3 linked regions of the Macaca fascicularis genome follow. Each later gene encodes a partner of the first gene's protein in a complex. Links are inferred from orthologs where the notes say so. Each region holds a gene or a part of one and is shown in the gene's direction. Other genes may lie near its edges. The genes, in order: calpain-2 catalytic subunit, CAST and CAPNS1.

Evidence for each region.
Region 2: the proteins of calpain-2 catalytic subunit (region 1) and CAST are in contact, whole or in part, in a crystal structure (PDB 3BOW), measured with the Rattus norvegicus proteins. The link is inferred for Macaca fascicularis from reciprocal best matches to the Homo sapiens genes CAPN2 and CAST. Residues at the interface, in NP_058812.1 of Rattus norvegicus: Glu62, Leu63, Ser68, Lys69, Gln99, Gly100, Ala101, Leu102, Gly103, Trp106, Lys161, Asp162, Leu165, Leu166, His169, Ser196, Gly197, Gly198, Thr200, Ser241, Asp243, Ile244, Thr245, Asp249, Ser250, Glu251, Ala252, Val253, Val259, Lys260; in NP_445747.2 of Rattus norvegicus: Glu571, Leu572, Asp573, Ala575, Leu576, Asp577, Glu578, Leu579, Ser580, Ser582, Leu583, Gly584, Gln585, Arg586, Gln587, Pro588, Leu596, Asp597, Asp598, Lys599, Val600, Lys601, Glu602, Lys603, Ile604, Lys605, Ala606, Glu607, His608, Ser609.
Region 3: the proteins of calpain-2 catalytic subunit (region 1) and CAPNS1 are in contact, whole or in part, in a crystal structure (PDB 1KFU), measured with the Homo sapiens proteins. The link is inferred for Macaca fascicularis from reciprocal best matches to the Homo sapiens genes CAPN2 and CAPNS1. Residues at the interface, in NP_001739.3 of Homo sapiens: Ala2, Gly3, Ile4, Ala5, Lys7, Leu8, Ala9, Arg12, Glu13, Glu16, Phe60, Arg366, Arg416, Arg417, Arg418, Arg420, Asp494, Ile516, Phe551, Glu575, Lys578, Val581, Asp582, Asp585, Gly588, Ser589, Gly590, Gln641, Leu642, Gln644; in NP_001003962.1 of Homo sapiens: Thr85, His86, Ser88, Asp111, Asp112, Met113, Glu114, Ser116, Thr118, Asp142, Arg145, Ser146, Ala149, Val150, Met151, Asp152, Ser153, Asp154, Thr155, Thr156, Gly157, Gly160, Phe161, Glu163, Asn206, His208, Leu209, Met212, Ile213, Arg215.

Annotation. Positions count from the first base shown.
Region 1 is NC_088375.1:81,673,578-81,679,567, forward strand, and holds the start of calpain-2 catalytic subunit, read left to right. Parts: upstream 1-2,167; 5' UTR 2,168-2,269; coding exon 2,270-2,506; intron 2,507-5,990. UniProt on the Homo sapiens protein: Calcium-regulated non-lysosomal thiol-protease which catalyzes limited proteolysis of substrates involved in cytoskeletal remodeling and signal transduction. Proteolytically cleaves MYOC at 'Arg-226'.
Region 2 is NC_088380.1:100,740,530-100,745,749, forward strand, and holds part of CAST (calpastatin), read left to right. Parts: intron 1-1,926; coding exon 1,927-2,031; intron 2,032-2,750; coding exon 2,751-2,843; intron 2,844-4,126; coding exon 4,127-4,171; intron 4,172-4,588; coding exon 4,589-4,681; intron 4,682-5,220.
Region 3 is NC_088393.1:43,384,778-43,390,673, forward strand, and holds the start of CAPNS1 (calpain small subunit 1), read left to right. Parts: upstream 1-2,360; 5' UTR 2,361-2,452; intron 2,453-3,275; exon of another isoform or gene 3,276-3,278; 5' UTR 3,279-3,290; coding exon 3,291-3,493; intron 3,494-4,574; coding exon 4,575-4,608; intron 4,609-4,925; coding exon 4,926-5,015; intron 5,016-5,181; coding exon 5,182-5,239; intron 5,240-5,336; coding exon 5,337-5,401; intron 5,402-5,896. UniProt on the Homo sapiens protein: Regulatory subunit of the calcium-regulated non-lysosomal thiol-protease which catalyzes limited proteolysis of substrates involved in cytoskeletal remodeling and signal transduction. Essential for embryonic development.

The DNA of each region.
Region 1 (5,990 bases):
TCTTTTGGGTGCAGAATGTAAACCAAAAATAAAATTCTAAGCCCCCACTGCACCCCTCCACCCCCAACCATCTAAATGGATGGTTTCCCCTTAGTCGGGGCTCTTAAAATTTTAACCTGAAATTTTCAGGCCATGAAGGAAAGGGGAGGTTAGACATGCCTCATTATACCTCTCCGGTGTGAACATCAATGCAGGCTTTAGGTCTGATAAGAAACATTTTACAGCCTGTTCACTCTGAAGCCTGCTAGTTAAAAGTTTCATCTATGTGATAAAACTTTTGTCTCCACAACCTCTTATTGCAACCCAAACATTCCTTTCTATTGATCCCAGGCCTTTAGGCAAACTTAACCAATTGTCAACCAGAAAATGTTAAAATATTTACCTATATCCTGGAAGCCACTCCCACTGCCCCCACCCACGCCCCCACCCCCCACCACCTCACTTTGAGTTGTCCTGCCATTCTGAACCAAACCAATGTATTTCTTAAATGTACTTAATTGATGATTCTTGCCTCCCTAACATGTATAAATCCAAGCTGCACCCCAACCACCTTGGGCACGTGTCCTCAGGGCTTCCTGTGTCACAGGTGTGCGTCTTCAACCATGGCAAAATTAACTTTCTAAATTAACTGAGACCTGTTTCAGGTTTTCTGGGTTCACAAGAGTTATCCCGGACATTGTAAGATGCTTAGTAGCATCCCTAACTTCTACTTAGTAAAGGCCAGTAGCACCTCATCTCCTAGCTGTGACAATAAAAACTATCTCCAGACATTCCCAAATGTTTCCTGGGGTGGGATATGGGACACAACTGCCCCAGTGGAGAACCACTGCTGTACACCATGCACAATTTTCCAGTGAAACCCAAATTCCTTCCTACTACTGTAGAGAAGGAGAGGAGGTAATTTCTTCCCATCTGCATTTCTTGGCACGCACCCATGTCTCTGTGTGTGAGCTGAGAATCACACCCTGACTCCACAACAGAGTGGTCACAGTAGCCAACACAGGCACTATTCTAAGCCCTCTCCAACAGTAACCCAACTCATCCTACCAGTTAAATATGAGTTTCAGATAAACAATGAATCATATTTTCTTTTAGTATAAGTATGTATACCCATGCAATATTTGGGGCCTACATATACTTTAAAAGTATCTGTTGTTTATCTGAAATTCAAATTAAACATTTGGGAGGGCTGTTGTTTTATTGGCCAAATCTTTTTATTTTATATTATATTATTTTATTTTTGATACGGTGTTTTGCTTTGTCACCCAGGCTGGAGTGTAGTGGCGCGATCTCGTCTCACTGCAACTTCTGCCTCCTGGGTTCAAGCAATTCTCCTGTCCCAGCCTCCCAAGTAACTGGGGTCACAGGCACCTGCCACAACGTATTTTTAGTAGAGACGGGGTTTCACCATGTTGGCCAGGCTGGTCTCGAACTCCTGACCTCAGGTGATCCACCTGCCTCCAGCCTCCCAAAGTGTTGGGATTACAGGCGTGAGCCACCGCGCCCAGCCTTACTGGCCAAATCTGACAACCCTATCTGTAATCAAATAAACAGCTGAGCAGTAGTAACTGCAGCATCGTGATTGCAACAGGCCTCCGTGGCTTAGAGTCCCTGTTCTGCCTGTGACCGTTGTGCCACATTGGGAAGTCATTTAGCCTCTCTGAGGCTCAGTTTTCTCATCTGTAAGATGGGAACAATATCAGTGCCTTCTTCAGAGTTGCTGGGAGGATTGAATGAGATGATGTATGCAGAGCCGTTAAGACGGTGTTTGGCACAAGGTTCAGGGCAGCTGATTTAGTTTCCTCAACTTCACTACCTGATCCTCTGCTAACTCCCCGGGTGTTTTCTGGACGGCCACAACTACCCTAGCCTCCGGTGTCGCCCAGCCTTCCTCCGCATTGAGTGTAAAGGTGGCCTCGGGTTCCGGTGGGAGCCCCAACTCTGGACCGCGATTCGCGAGCCTTCCCGGCGCCAGGCCGCGCCATCCCGGGAGCTGTCCGCAGATGGCAGCACTGGCCCCGGGTCGCGGCGGTCCCGGCGCTCCGCAGGCCGCAGGCTGGCCTGGTCCCGGGCCGGGAGCCCATCAGGCCGGGAGCGGCTGAGGCCACACCCCGCGGGCCGGGCCGCTTCCCTCCGGTGAATCATCGCTCGCAGTGGCTGCGCCCGCAGTGTCCGCAGCAGCGCGCCGGGCCCTGGCCGCGCCCCAGCCGAGCGCAGCGCGAAGTCGCCCCGACCTTTCTGTGAGCAGCACGGCCGCCGGGGCCGCAGCATGGCGGGCATCGCGGCCAAGCTGGTGAAGGACCGGGAGGCGGCCGAGGGGCTGGGCTCCCACGAGAGGGCCATCAAGTACCTCAACCAGGACTATGAGGCGCTGCGGAACGAGTGCCTGGAGGCCGGGACGCTCTTCCAGGACCCCTCCTTCCCAGCCATCCCCTCGGCCCTGGGCTTCAAGGAGTTGGGGCCCTACTCCAGCAAAACCCGGGGCATCGAGTGGAAGCGACCCACGGTAGGAAGTGCGCGGCAGGACGCGGGCAGGGCGGGGTGCCGGGCAGGGAGGGGTGCAGCTGGCCCGCGGCGCGCTGGGGCGCGGCTGCAGTGGGGAAGCCGCAAGCCAGGACCCCGCAGGCCTGCGACACCTACACGCCACCGGAGTCTGGGACTCCTTTCGAGCGTGGGGGAACTCACGGGGCCTGCCCTCTCTTCCACCCACCACGCTTTCCTGGGCGGGTCGGGGCGAATCACTGCACTCAAATCCCACTAGCAGGCCAATTTAGGACTTCACAAAAACTCAGGGTGACACAGGAGGCCGGGGTGAAACTTGTAATTGAACTGTAGCGGGGACCTGGAAGAGGAGGGGAATCGGGTCTGCAGAGAAGGGAGAGGCAACATCCACCAGACAAAGTCCGTCTCCAACTGGGGTTCTGTCTGTTCGTGGAGGGGGACAGGCCAGAGCCTGGTCATTTTGTGACTAAGGATAGTCTCATGCAGCCCTGGGGTTACATTTATTTTTCCAAAGGGGAGCCAGCGATACCTCCCCATAACATCGACAATGGTAATTAACCCAGGACACGGAGGTGTCTCATGGTTTGCCTGGTGGGAATCCTCACTGGGGAAAGCTCCGGGAGCCCTCCAGACCCCATTATCCCGTCCCCCAGGGTCTCTGACCTCCCGGCCCTGGGACAACTTGCCCTCCCCAATCTACTTGTCCATTCCGTTTCTTGGGGAACCGCCTCCTTTGGGACTTCCCCAGGCTTCCCCTACCACGCCTAGGGAAGCCTGCCTGAAGTCCAACTTCTAGATTCCTGTTATGAGAACAAGCCTTCCAGCTCTGCTTCCACACCCGGCAGCCTCCCAGGTCACCTTCTGTTTCCCTAAATCCAGCTCATAGGTAGCGAGGGCTGCAGGAAGCACCCTAGCCCAGACTCAGAGCACTTGGATTCACCTTCTTGCTAACCTGCTGGGTGACCTTGAGGAAGCGGTTTAAACTCTCTGTGCCTCCGTGTCTTCATCTAAAATAACACACCCTGCCTAGATATTTTCTCTCTTTCGTGGCCCTCCAGACCCTGCCATCCTGGCCTCCTTTCAGTCTCTCAAAGAGCCAGTTCTTGCCTGCACGAGGCCTTCTCACCAGCAAGGCACGCTCTTACCTGGAGTGTGGCTCACTCTCATTCTTTCCAACTTAGTCACATGTTCCCTCCTCAAACAGGTATTTTCTGACCCTTCTTAGCAGCCACCTCCCCACCTTGTTATTCTCTAACTCTCACCCCACTCATTTCCTTCATAGCATTGTCACAGTTTAGAAATATAATCACATGTATTTGTTCTTCCTACTGAACTGCAGGAATCATGTGTATATTATTTACCAGTATATCCCCAGTGCCTAGCACATAGCCATGCCTTTCACAGTATTCATCCATTCATTCATTCACTCATTCATTCAACAACATTGATGGAGCACCTATTACATGCCAGGCACTGTCCTGAGAGCTCAGGAGATACACTAGTGAACACAAAAGAAGTGACTGTAGAATGAATGGATGCAGGATTGTAATGAGCCTCAGATGAAATTATGGTTGCGAAAGTGGTAAACTGACCTGACGTGGTGCCTCACGCCTGTAATCCCAGCACTATGGGAGGCCAAGGTGGGAGGATCACTTGAGCCAGGAGTTCAAGACCAGCCCGGGCAACACAGTAAGACTTGTCTCTATAAAAAAAGTAAAAAAAAAAAAAAAAATGAAACGCAAACCAAGAGAATGTGTTCACTTTACATTTGCATGGCACTTTACAGTTTACACAGTGAGTTCACACTCATTCACTTATTCTTTCGTTCATTCAATAAGCATTTCTCGAATACCTCCTATATGCTAGGCACAATGCATATGGTTTCTGCTTCTGAAGACTTACTTCTGAGGCTAGTGAGGTGACAGAGACAGGTCCCCCAACAGTTGGAAATGCCTGTGGGACTTCCAGATGAGGATATAGAGGTCTAGAGATGATCTAGGGCCACTGCTTAGGGCAGGCGGGCTGTGCACTGCACTACCAAGGAAGAGTGTGACTATTACGATCCCCATTTGCCAGTTGAAGAAATTGAGGCTTGGGAAGGTTAAATCCTTGCTCAGAGTCAAGTGGATATAGGCCATAGATCCAGGACTGTGTGTAGTCTGTGCATGTTGAGCCCACCCTTTATGGCTGCGTTGTCTGCCTCTATCCTACCTTCTCAAATGCTGCTGAGGTCTGGCAAGGAGAGCACAATTGTTTCCACTGGATTTGAACACTAGCAGGTCATTGGTGAGTTTAGCAGAGCAATTTCAATGGAAAGGTGAGGGTAGAAGCCAGATTGTTATAGACTCCAGAGTAAAGGAACTGGAAATGAAGAACGTGATCAACTCATTTAAGAAGGGCCCCTGGGAAGAGAGGAGAACTGATAGGTAGAGCAGGACCTGGATTTTGAGAGCCGGTTTTTTTTTTTTCATATGAGAACAACTTGAATGTGTCACATGTTGAATCACGAGGAGGAAGGGATTAAAGATAAAGGCAGGGAGGGGCAGTGAAACAGGGTCCCTGAGGAAGTGAGAATACGGGTTGTGGGCAGGAGAGGGGAGCAGGTTAGCCTTGCAGCAGGAGGAGCTGCTCTTCCTCGGAGAGAGGATTTCACAACACTGGCAAGAGTGGCTCCAGCACCTGGAAGGGGGATTAAAGCAGTAAGTCCAGTGGGGTCCAAGGACCATGCAGGGGCACAGTGAGGAGAAAGCAGGCGTGATCCGGGTGGCACATCAGATCCTCCCAGCAACCAGTCCATTAGGAGCAAGGGCAGATATTGTGAGCCCCTATGTTTCCCCCAAGAAAATCAAACCTCTGAGAGGTTTCTCACTTGCTTATCTTCAGCTGGCCAAACTCAGCCTCAAACCCATATGTCCTGTCTCCAAGTTCAGTGACTGTTATCATCAACTTCTTCAACAGTAGTAATAATAGATCACATTTATGGAGTGCTTGCCAGGGCATGTTTACATCATTATCTCATTTAACACTCAGAACAATCCTCTGAGTTGGGTATTTTCATTGTTCCCATTTTGCAGGTGAAAAAACTGAGGCTTCAAAAGATTAGGTGACTTTCCAGGGTCCTAGGACCTATACAATAAGTGGCAGAGCCCGGATTTAAACCCAGGTTATCAGAATAATGCAGCAAAGCCCAAACCCTCAACCCCTTTTCACTGACTGGTAAGTCCCATATTTGATTCGATGCACTACATGCTGTGCGCAAGTTTCAGTTTTCTGAAGCATCGCTCAGCACCACTCTGAACTCTGACTTCTCTAGAGTCTGCTAACGGCATTCGAAAGTTTCTGAAGTATAATGGAAAAACCCTGCTGGGGTAAGTGCCTGGCACACTCAGGATTATCACTGTGATTCTTTATAATAAACAGGCTCCCAGCACCAAGCCCAATCTATTCCATCAGCTGGATAAGAGCTCGCTGACAGGCCTTGGGCCAAG
Region 2 (5,220 bases), on another chromosome or scaffold:
GGATTATAATAAAGCACTTAAAACCAGTAAAATGCCCTGTGTGTGTGTATGTGTGTGTGTGTGCATGTGTGTGTAAACACACCCACAATGAAAAAAGTCCCCATGCAACAGAAAGGAAGAACCATTAATAGCCTAGGCTGCCATTTACACTTCAGTTCTTAATATTCAGGCCAGAGATTCTGCCCTGATGGAGGCTATCAGTAAACATTTGCAATCAGAAACTTTTTTGCCTTTAAGAAGTAGGTTTTCCAGTGACACTTCTCTGATCACATTTCCCATCAGAGAGTCTTGTTTTTAGTTAACATTTTATTTGAAGATGTCACTAAAACAAGGTATAAAGCTTTATTTAGATAAAAAATTGGGAAATCAAAGAGTCAAGCCATGATGATTCACGGGAGCTTTCTTTGCTGAGATTATTAGATTGTTATTAGCAGTGTTAGATACACTGAAAGCATCTGAAGACATGCTTTCAAAGATCTGTGTAATAAAATCACTCCAACAGGAAAAACTGCTTCAAAGAAAATAGAAGATCATGGATGTGACTAAGCCATGACAGGGAAAACCTTTATCAGTCCCAAGACCTGGGTTCTATTCACTTTTTAACAATTTGTTTTCAAACAACTGACTTAGCTTCCCTGAGCTTTTTACCTCCAAAAAGCCTGCTTAGTTCACTAAGAACCATTGTGGGCATCAAATAAAACTGGATAGTGTATGTGAAAACACTTTGAAAATCAACTGGAAAGTTCTATACAGTATTGGACAGAGTTCAGCATGGTATCTTATACAATGTAGATATTAAACACATTTTAATTGAATTCATTTAGAGGTGGAATTTTGAATGCAATGTGTTGAAAAATATTTTGAAACAAAACTTAGGATTTTGCTATAATAATACTAATAATAATTTACCATTTGTTGGGTCCTAACATACAACTAGTACTGTTTTAAATGCCTTTTCAATCATTTACTTTTCTCAGCAACTTAGGAGTATAGGTACTACTGTTATTCACATTTTATGGCCAAGGAAGCTGAGGCCGAAAGAGGTTAAATAAGCTGCCTGAATCATACAGTAAATAAATGTTAGAGGAATTCAGCTATCTTAGTTACAGTGACATTGTTGTTCCATAATTTTTTTCGTGTAGAATACCAGCTCCCATTTCTGCAATTTAGCTTCCATGAGCTTCCTAAAGATGAAAAGAGAGGTATCCCCACCAGTTCAGAAATTCTCTGAAGTCTTTCAGGCCACTCATACCAGTGTGGCAGAGAAGCCCCTTCCACTCTCCTGACCCCAGATTGTCTCTGGGGTTTTGCGTCCTAGGAGGTATTAGGATGGCAGTGCCGAGCTCCATGGCTTCCCACAAACTGCGGGTCATGCTGCACTTTATGAAATGCACCCCTCAAGATCTTAGAGTCTTAGAGAGGACCCACGGAACCAAAGAAACGCTCACCCTCTATAGTTGCAGAATCCTGCTTCCTAACCATCTGACAACATTAGTGGATATTTGTTTTCATATCGTTTTCTAATGGTGTTTAATTTCTAAATGAAAGACACACATGGTTGGTTCATTTGCTTTTGGACCCTTTATGTGACCTCCAGGTCACCCACTGGATATGGATCCTGAGGCTTCCACTAAGACCTTCTTAACCTGGGGATCTTCACCAAGACATGGGCGGGGTGGGTGGAAGGCGCTGGCCCTCCAACCCCAGAGGTTGACAGATGCTGCCGCTCTTCTCCTGATCTTCCATTCCTAGCCTTCTCTTCTCTGACCCTGTCTACTCCCCTGCCCCAGCCCCAGCCCCAGCCCCAGATGTCTTTTTCTTCCAAGGAAACAGGTTCCCTCCTGAAAAGATGGAGTTCCTGGGCTAATTTGCCTCTGATACAGTTTGGCTAATGAGTGACTAATTCGGCATTATTTACTTTTTTAGCAGAGTGACAAAGACCTCGATGATGCCTTGGATAAACTCTCCGATAGTCTAGGACAAAGGCAGCCTGACCCAGATGAGAACAAACCAATGGAGGATAAAGTAAAGGTAAAAAAAAAAAAAAATTCACTAATAAGTGAAATTTTAATCCTTGGGTCTTGACTCTGTCATTGTCGTAGGAATATTGATGTGAATTTAACCTATATTTTAAACATGAAATTATAAGGAAGTAGAAAAATCAATCTGTACTCCACTGGAGGGGAAGGTCACTGAATCTGTGACAAAGATACCAGCGGAGCCTCCCTGAGGAGATTCTGGGAGGTAGGTGTGGCGTATGCATGGCTTCCTCCCATGCAACACAAGCAGTCAGCACATCCATTCAAATTAGCTGTCGTCCTTCAAAGTCGCTTATAAATAGGCAAAGTTGTAAATATGACCTCTCTAAATGGCAGGGTATAGTGGCCTGATTTTTTTTATTAGAAAAGTGAAACCATACAGAAAAAAAGAAAAAGATATTTTATACCTTTGGGTTCTAATCTCCTAACATGGTTTCTGAGGATAATTATTTAATCATTTATTTCCATTTAAAATATAGCTAGAAAATTCACAGATATGAATTGACATACAGAAGCATATGGGATTATATATTTTAGCCAACTAGCAGTCTGTTGAAGTCATCTGTGTTGTTCTGTTGCTTAAATAATAAAAACAGACCATATGTTTTGCCTCATAAAAGTACAACAAATGCTGAATGCTACATTTGACAATGTATTTTCTAAGTGAAAGAGGAAATGAATATTAATTCTATCTGCTCACTGTTTATATAGGAAAAAGCAAAAGCTGAACATAGAGACAAGCTTGGAGAAAGAGATGACACTATCCCACCTGAATACAGACATCTCCTGGATGATAAGGGACAGGTAAACTGAGGCAAATTGCTAGATCGGATTTATGCTACAAAGATCTTTAAATTCAAACCTCCTTGAAATAAATAGTAGCTGTACTCTTTTACAATAGCATAAAGACATATCATGACTGACTGCTTTTAATGTGTCACCAAAGCTGACCAGCAGGTAAATATTTATTTGAGCCAATATCATTGTATATGCATATGCTAGGCTCTGTGGTATAAACAGGGTTGAATACTGTTCAGTCAGTCACTGATGCTTAAGAGTAATCCAAGAAATGTGATTCTCTCTTTCAAGAAAAGGCTATAAAAATCACTAAGGTGATAGGATTTCAAAGGAAGCAATCTCTGTTTAAGGACAGTAGAAAAGGAGCTGGTGTTGGGATAATTAATAGGGCAAATTAATAAGGCAGCTCCAAGACCTGGGGTCTCCCTATCTTCTTCTACATCACCATCAGCACTATTGCAAGTGAAGACAGGCAAAGCAATATTCCCAATCACAAATCCTGTTTCTCTGCCAAAAAGTCCCTGACCTTTTGTCTCCCACATGATAGAAACCAGTCTTTTGTAGGTCAACCAGGCCTGTCCCCCACCTCTTTCCTATTTGGTTTCTAACTTTTGAGTCCATTAGATGATAAATAACCCTTTCCATGCCTGTTCATCAAACAGAAAACAAGGAAGTCCAAATTACACCCTTCTCTTTCTGTACTGATTCATTTTGGTGAGATGATTCCTGGTTTAAATAGCACTGTCAGCTTCAGGGTCTCCTATTACAGGAACCAATTCTCCTTGCTTGCATTCAGTATTCCACAAGATAGCAATGCCACATCCTGCGAGAGCCCTTCCCACTTTGATAGTACCAACTCACCCTGCTTCCATTCTTTGGGAAATTTCTTATTTAAGGTCCTTGCCTTTGAAACTGGGAAAAATCCCTGATGACTTTCTAAGTGTAATAAACTATAGTAAATAAGATATAAAAACACAAGTAACTTTTTATAACACTTTAAGTAGAATTATAAGTGACAATACATGATGGCAGAAGGTTCACAAATAGTGTTTCTTTCACTTCCAGGACTCTTTCATATGTTTTCCCCAAGTCTATAGATATGATTATAAAGAATAGTAATTAAGCAAAGCTGCTAAAGAAATTATGGGGACCCAGGTTTATTAGTTATTGCAAGTCTACACTCCATTTTATCCAAGTCAAGTCATTGGATAATAGATTCTCTACTGCCTAAACCTAAGTAAACCTTTACAAATATCTATGCTTAACCAATAGTCTGCCTTCTTTTTAAGGACAAACCAGTGAAGCCACCTACAAAGAAATCAGAGGAATCAAAGGTAAAGACCATAGGAATATATTTCCATTAAATTTTGTTTTATTCTAGCCATAGGGTTATTTGGCATTTTAGAAAACTAAAACATTGAATGCCTACTCTGTGCCTGGTACTTCGCCAGAGCATGCATATAAATGTGTGTGACCATTGTTTATCTCTCATTTAGTCTTCACAAAAGCCCTTTAGGATAGAAAACTGAGGCTCAGAGAATACTAAGCAACATTTATTAAAAAGTAGAGGGAAAAAAAGCCATCAAGATTTTCTTGTTTTTCTATCTCCTTTACATTATTATTAGTATAGAATGTCAGTAAGTGTTTTTCTTATAGAAACATCTTTTATTTGTAAGTGAGGTGGGAAAATACCCCATATTGCATTTTGCCTTCTGCTTCTTCACTGATGGTTATTTCTACTCATATCTCAGAAATCTGCAGATGACCAAGACCCCATTGATGCTCTCTCAGGAGATCTGGATAGCTGTCCCTCCACTACAGAAACCTCACAGAACACAGCAAAGGTACTGTGCTTTTTCACATAGACTTTCTTTGAAATGTGTGTGTGTTTATGTGTACATACACACAAGTTTTATTGATTGATCTATCTATCTGTCTATCTATCTTGTAATAGGGTCTCACTCTGTAGCCCAGGCTGGAGTGCAGTGGTGTGATCTCAGTTCACTGCAATCTCTGCTTCCAATCAAGCAATCCTCCTACCTTAGCTTCCTGAGTAGCGGGGACTACAGGAGTGCACCACCACACCCGGCTAATTTTTGTACTTTTTTGTAGAGATGGGGTTTCGCTATGTTGCCAGGCTGGTCTTGAGCTCTTGGGCTCAAGTTATCTGCCAACTTCTGCCCCTCAAAGTGCTGGGGTTACAGGCTTGAAGCACTGTGCCTGGCCCTTATAATTTTTAAACTGTAGAATGAATCAAATGATGACATAGAGAACCTGAAAATGAAGAAAAGAAAACATACCTATAATTCCACTGCCCCCAAAACAGTATTATTTTGTGGATTTCCTTTTTTTCTATATGTATGTTTTACATAATTTTACTTAC
Region 3 (5,896 bases), on another chromosome or scaffold:
CTTGTTGCCTAGACTGGAGTGCAATGGTGCAATCTTGGTTCACTGAAACCTCTGCCTACTGGGTTCAAGCGATTCTCCTGCCTCAGCCTCCTGAGTAACTGGGATTACGGGCATGTGCCACCATGTCCGGCTAATTTTGTATTTTTTAGTAGAGACAGGGTTTCTCCATGTTAGTCAGATTGTCTTGAACTCCTGACCTCAGGTGATCTGCCCAACTCGGCATCCCAAAATTCTGGGATTTCAGGCGTGAGTCACTGTGCCCAGCTATTTATTTATTTGAGACAGTGTCTCGCTCTGTCACCCAGATTGTAGTGCAGTGGCATGATCTCGGCTCACTGTAACCTCTGCCTCTTGGGCTCTGGTGATCCTCCCACCTGTCTCCAGAGTAGCTGGGACTAGGCACATGCCACCACACTCAGCTAATTTCTATATTATTATTATTTGTAGAGACAAGTTCTCACTATATTGCCCAGGCTGGAGTCGAACTCCTGAGCTCAAGAGATCCTTCTGCCTCAGCCTCCCAAAGTGCAGGGCATACAGGCATGAACTATCACACCCAGCCACTGCTTTAAGTTTTTTTTTAATAATCAGTATTCCTGCAGATATCATTTAATTTTTTTTTTTTTTTTTTTTTTTTGAGACGGAGTCTCGCTCTGTCGCCCAGGCTGGAGTGCAGTGCCCGGATCTCAGCTCACTGCAAGCTCCGCCTCCCGGATTCACGCCATTCTCTTGCCTCAGCCTCCCTAGTAGCTGGGACTACAGGCGCCCGCCACCTCGCCCGGCTAGTTTTTTGAATTTTTTAGTACAGACGGGGTTTCACTGGGTTAGCCAGGATGATCTCAATCTCCTGACCTCGTGATCCACGAGTCTCGGCCTCCCAAAGTGCTGGGATTACAGGCTTGAGCCACCGTGCTCTGCCGATATCATTTAATTTTGATAGGGGGCCTAGTGGTATGGAGCAACCCATGATCACATTTTACAGATGAGAAAATTGCTGCTCAGGAATATCAAGTCACTGTTTTGGGGTTGTGCAGTTATTACAGGGCATAGCCAGGATTCAACTCAAGCCTAGCCAGCCTCCAGGGTAGGGACTAAGAGCCAACCAGCCTGCCTGGGGGCCATATTTAGCTGCCCCTGAGGAGTCCTGAAAAAGTACTGGACACCTGTGGCTCACGCCTGTAATCCCAGCACTTTGGCAGGCCGAGGCGGGTGGATCACCTAAGATCAGGAGTTTGAGACTAGCCTGGTCAACATGGCGAAACCCCGTCTCTACCAAAAATACAAAAATTAGCTGGGCGTGGTGGTGCACGCCTGTAATCCTAGCTACTCGGGAGGTTGAGGCAGGAGAATCGCTTGAACCTGGGAGGCGGAGACTGCAGTGAGCCAAGATGGCGCCATTGCACTCCAGCCTGGGCAACAGAGCAAGATGCTGTCTCAAAAAAAAAAAAAAAGAAAAGAAAGAAAAAAACCAGGCTATGTAAAAACAATATTGTTAAAAATTAAATTAAATCAAAAAAAGGCCGGTAGCCCATACCTGTATTCCCAGTACCTCCCAGTACTTTGGGAAGCTGAGGCAGGAGGATGGCTTGAGGGCAGAGATGGCTTGAGGCCCGGAGTTCAAGAGCAGCCTGAGCAACATGGCTAGACCTCCGTCTCTATTACGTAAAAACAACAATATTTTTTAAGTAAATAAAGAAACCCGGCCGCCGCCAAAGGAATCTTCCTGTGTCTGGGGCCTTCTTTAGACACTAGCATACTGAGGACACCCTTTGGGCCAGTCCAGGAAGGAATGATTCATGTGGCCCCTGACTGGGGCGGGACGTGGTAAGGTTCGCCTGGGAGGCGGCGCCTGCGCTGCCTGCGGTTTGACTGCCATCCGGGCTGCTGCAGGCACTGGGAAAGGCACTCCAGCCTCAGTCCTCGCCACAGACACGGGCGATTGTCCTCCTGCGTGTGAGCCAAAGCATACTACAGGCCTCCAGGAGGTGTTTGTCGCGACAACACCTGGAAAGGGCCCGTGCGGAGTCCCTTAGTGAGCGGACCGAAAACTGCCACCCTGGAAGGATATTGGCAGGCCCTAGGGGCTGTCACACTACGACACTGGGGGGGTGTGGGTCTCCTCCGAGTTCTCATCACCCGGCGCCTGCACCCAGACCTGAGGGGTGTCGGGAAGACCCCAGCCTACCGAGTCAGGGCGGGGTTAAGACCTCCGGCGCTGGAAACGTGTAGGGCGGGGCCCAAATCCGGGTCCCGCTAGCAGGGCGATGTGGGGTGCGCATGCGCAATGTCCGCTTCGGCTCTAGGACCGCGCGGGAGACAGCCGGGCCGCGGTGCAGTGTCAGACCCGAGAGTTGCGGCCTGAGTCACCGGCCCCGCCCTCAGGAGCCGGACGCTGCGGGAGGCCCGGGAGCGGCAGCGGAACGGACTCCCAGACCTTTGGACGCGTGAGGTGGTAAGCGCCCAGCCCGTACCCCCTCCGCACCCCGCAATTCCGGCTTTGGCGGCCCCCAGACCTGGCGAACCGTGAAGTCTCGGCCTCAGGAGCCCCCCAGATCCATGGTCTCAGATTCGAACCCTCAGACCTGTTCGACACCCTTTCATGCCGTCCCGGGGACGTCCCCTACTTCTCCACCCTCTGTCTCATGATCCAAAATACAGGCCCATAGGTTTCAGAGATACCCTGTGAATTCTTCCTTGGGGTGTCTTGAACCACGATCGTAGATCTGTGCCCCCAGTTCCAGCGAGGGACCCCATTATCCGGGAACCCAGGGCTCACAGCCACGATCTTAGACCCGAGCCCACAAAGCCAGAGGTGACACTGGAATCCTGCCGCTGGGAATACCTGAATTCTCAAGCCCACATTTAGGATTTCCTAAACCCCGCCCTGGGGCCCTTTAGGCGGTGGATGTTTGCTCCGCGCCCATGACCCGCCAAGGACCTTTACATTCAGTCTGGGCTCTGGATCTCACATTCTAGCGCCCAGACACGTCGGGCACGCCTTACGCCAACTTGGGGTCCCCACCAAGAGAACCCCCACCAGACCTACACCCTCCCGTTAACGCGTGCACCCAGTCCAGGCTCCCTCAAGCCCACGGGTGCCTTTTAGACCCGAGGAGGTTGCAAACCTTGCGAGGACAACCCGCCCTCGCAAACTCAGACCCCCATCCGGAGGCCTCAGATCCCTTCTCCCGTGTCCAGCTGCCGGAAATGCGTGTTTGAGGGGAGGGTGTGGGCTCAGGGGCGAAGCACCCACTGGTCCCCTTTTTTCCCCCCAGCAGTGAGTCGCAGCCATGTTCCTGGTTAACTCGTTCTTGAAGGGCGGCGGCGGCGGCGGCGGGGCAGGCGGGGGCCTGGGTGGGGGCCTGGGGAATGTGCTTGGAGGCCTGATCAGCGGGGCCGGGGGCGGCGGCGGCGGTGGTGGAGGCGGCGGCGGAGGCGGCGGTGGCGGTGGAACTGCCATGCGCATCCTAGGCGGAGTCATCAGCGCCATCAGGTAAGGCGGCGACTATCGGAGGGGCGGGGCCTGGAAGTGTGAATGGGAGGTGCCTCAGGGGGCGTGGTCCGGGAGGGGCGTGGTCTAACAATAATAGGATTAACCTGGAGGCTAACCTGGGTACCTGAATTAGGCCGGGGTGGCCTAGTTTGAGAGTCCTGTTATAAGGGGGTGGACCCCAATGAGGCGGATATCAGTCCTTGGGAGCGGGGCTTGATACGGGAGTAGTCTGATTGTGTGGGACCAGGACAATGTGGTCCTGAGGGGACCGATGTGGAGTTTTGGAGGGTGGGGCTTATGGGTCTGGGCCCGGCCTGCATTGGCTAACCTGGAGATGAACGTTAAAGGGGCGGAGCCAATGCGTCTGAGTGACATTTTACGGTCGGGGCTTGACTTATGAGTGTGGTCAGAGGTTTTAGGTGGGTTAATGAGGAGGTGAGCCCAGGAGAAAGCAAGACCTAATGGGATAGAGGAAATAGCCCAGAATGGGCTGGGCTTGCTGGGAACTGGCGGGATTAATGGAGAAAAATGCCCTGGTAGGGGTAGGGCAGGTTGGCCTAATTAGTCATGGCCACTGAGCAGTGATCCCTTGAAGGGACGGGGACCAATGGCTGGGGTAGGATGTTGGGAAGACAGGTGTTTAGGAAGGGGGCCATGGAGTAGAGTCTTGGGCAGATGGCACCTAAGGAGGATAAGACCTTGGGAAGCTGGGGCAGAGCCTCTATGAAGTGAGCCCTCCAAGGGGCGGGGGTTTTTGATTCTGTGTGGGATTTTTAGGTTGAGGGTGGCCGAGATGACTGGAATCTGCCACTGGGTAGGTGTGCCTGGCAGGAGTGGAGCCTCCCAGGGGACGGATCTCTGGGTCTCCTGAAGGGTGGGGTTGGCCTGAGGAAGGGAGAAGAGGGGCACGACCAGGGCCATGTGGATTGGGACAGATGAGGACAAGAACAGATGAAGGGCACAGCAACCAAGTAAGGAAGATAGCGGCTGACATCTGGAGCGTTGGGGCTGATGGTTCTGTAGTACTGCCCGTTGGAGGCCCCGCCCCCGACACTAACCCCTCCCCCTTATCTCTTCGCAGCGAGGCGGCTGCGCAATACAACCCGGAGCCCCCGGTAAGCCCACTCTGCAACCAGACCCCCTTCTCCTGCCAAGGCCTCTTCGAGGTCCCATTCCTGTTCCTGTAGAGAAGTCCCACCTTCCTCCCCTTCTTGTGAAATTCCTCTGCCAGTTCCTCCCGTGCCATGTCCGCAGCTTCGCCATGGGTCTTAGCCATGCCCCACATACGCGCACCCATTCACTACCACCTCTCATTCTTTTTCTCATCAAGCTGCCCAGCCCACTCTGACTTTCTCACCCAGGGTGCCTTGGTGTGGGGAGCCGTCCTGGCCGGGTTCCCCTCCCCCTGCTCTGAGCTCTCCTCCCTCTGCAGCCCCCACGCACACATTACTCCAACATTGAGGCCAACGAGAGTGAGGAGGTCCGGCAGTTCCGGAGACTCTTTGCCCAGCTGGCTGGAGATGTAAGTAACCTGGGGTTCCCTGACCCCGTCCTAACCCTTCCATCCCTTCCCTTGTGGCTGCCCTTGCGCACACACCCTTGACCGTGACAATCCCAGTGTTCCCATTCTCCATGACATTCTCAGACCCTTCAGTCACGCCTGACTTGCCCCTAACTTCCGTCTGCAGGACATGGAGGTCAGCGCCACAGAACTCATGAACATTCTCAATAAGGTTGTGACACGACGTAAGTGACCGGGCTCAAGGAATAGGGTAGGTTTAGAGGCAGAGGGGCCTGAGTGGCTTTGGCCTCTGGCCTCTGACTTTCAACCTGTTGCCCACAGACCCTGATCTGAAGACTGATGGTTTTGGCATTGACACGTGTCGCAGCATGGTGGCCGTGATGGATGTATCCTTGGGAGCAGTGTGGGAGAGGCCCTGGGTGCACAGGGAGTTTTTTGAGAGTATGTTTGGAAAGCCAATGTGTAGCCTTCATATCCACAGATGTGGAAATGCATTCATCAGAGCACACTCACCTACAGACATGTGGCAGTAAATCATAACAATGCCAGCTGTTACAGCTGGCACTTTAATTATATAAAGTGACCGAACCTTCACAACCACCCTGTTGGACAGGCACAATTATTATACTCCATTTTACAGATGAGGAAACTGAGGCTCAGTTTCCTGAGAGAAGCAGTCATTTGTCTCAAGTTATAGATAAAGGTCAGGCGTGGTGGCTCATGCCTGTAATCCCAACACTTTGGGAGGCCGAGGTGGGCAGATCACCTGAGGTCAGGAGTTCGAGACCAGCCTGGCCAACAGGGTGAAACCCCATCTCTATTAAAAAATACAAAAATTAGCCGGGCGTGGTGGTGTGCAGCTATAGTCTCAGCTACTTGGG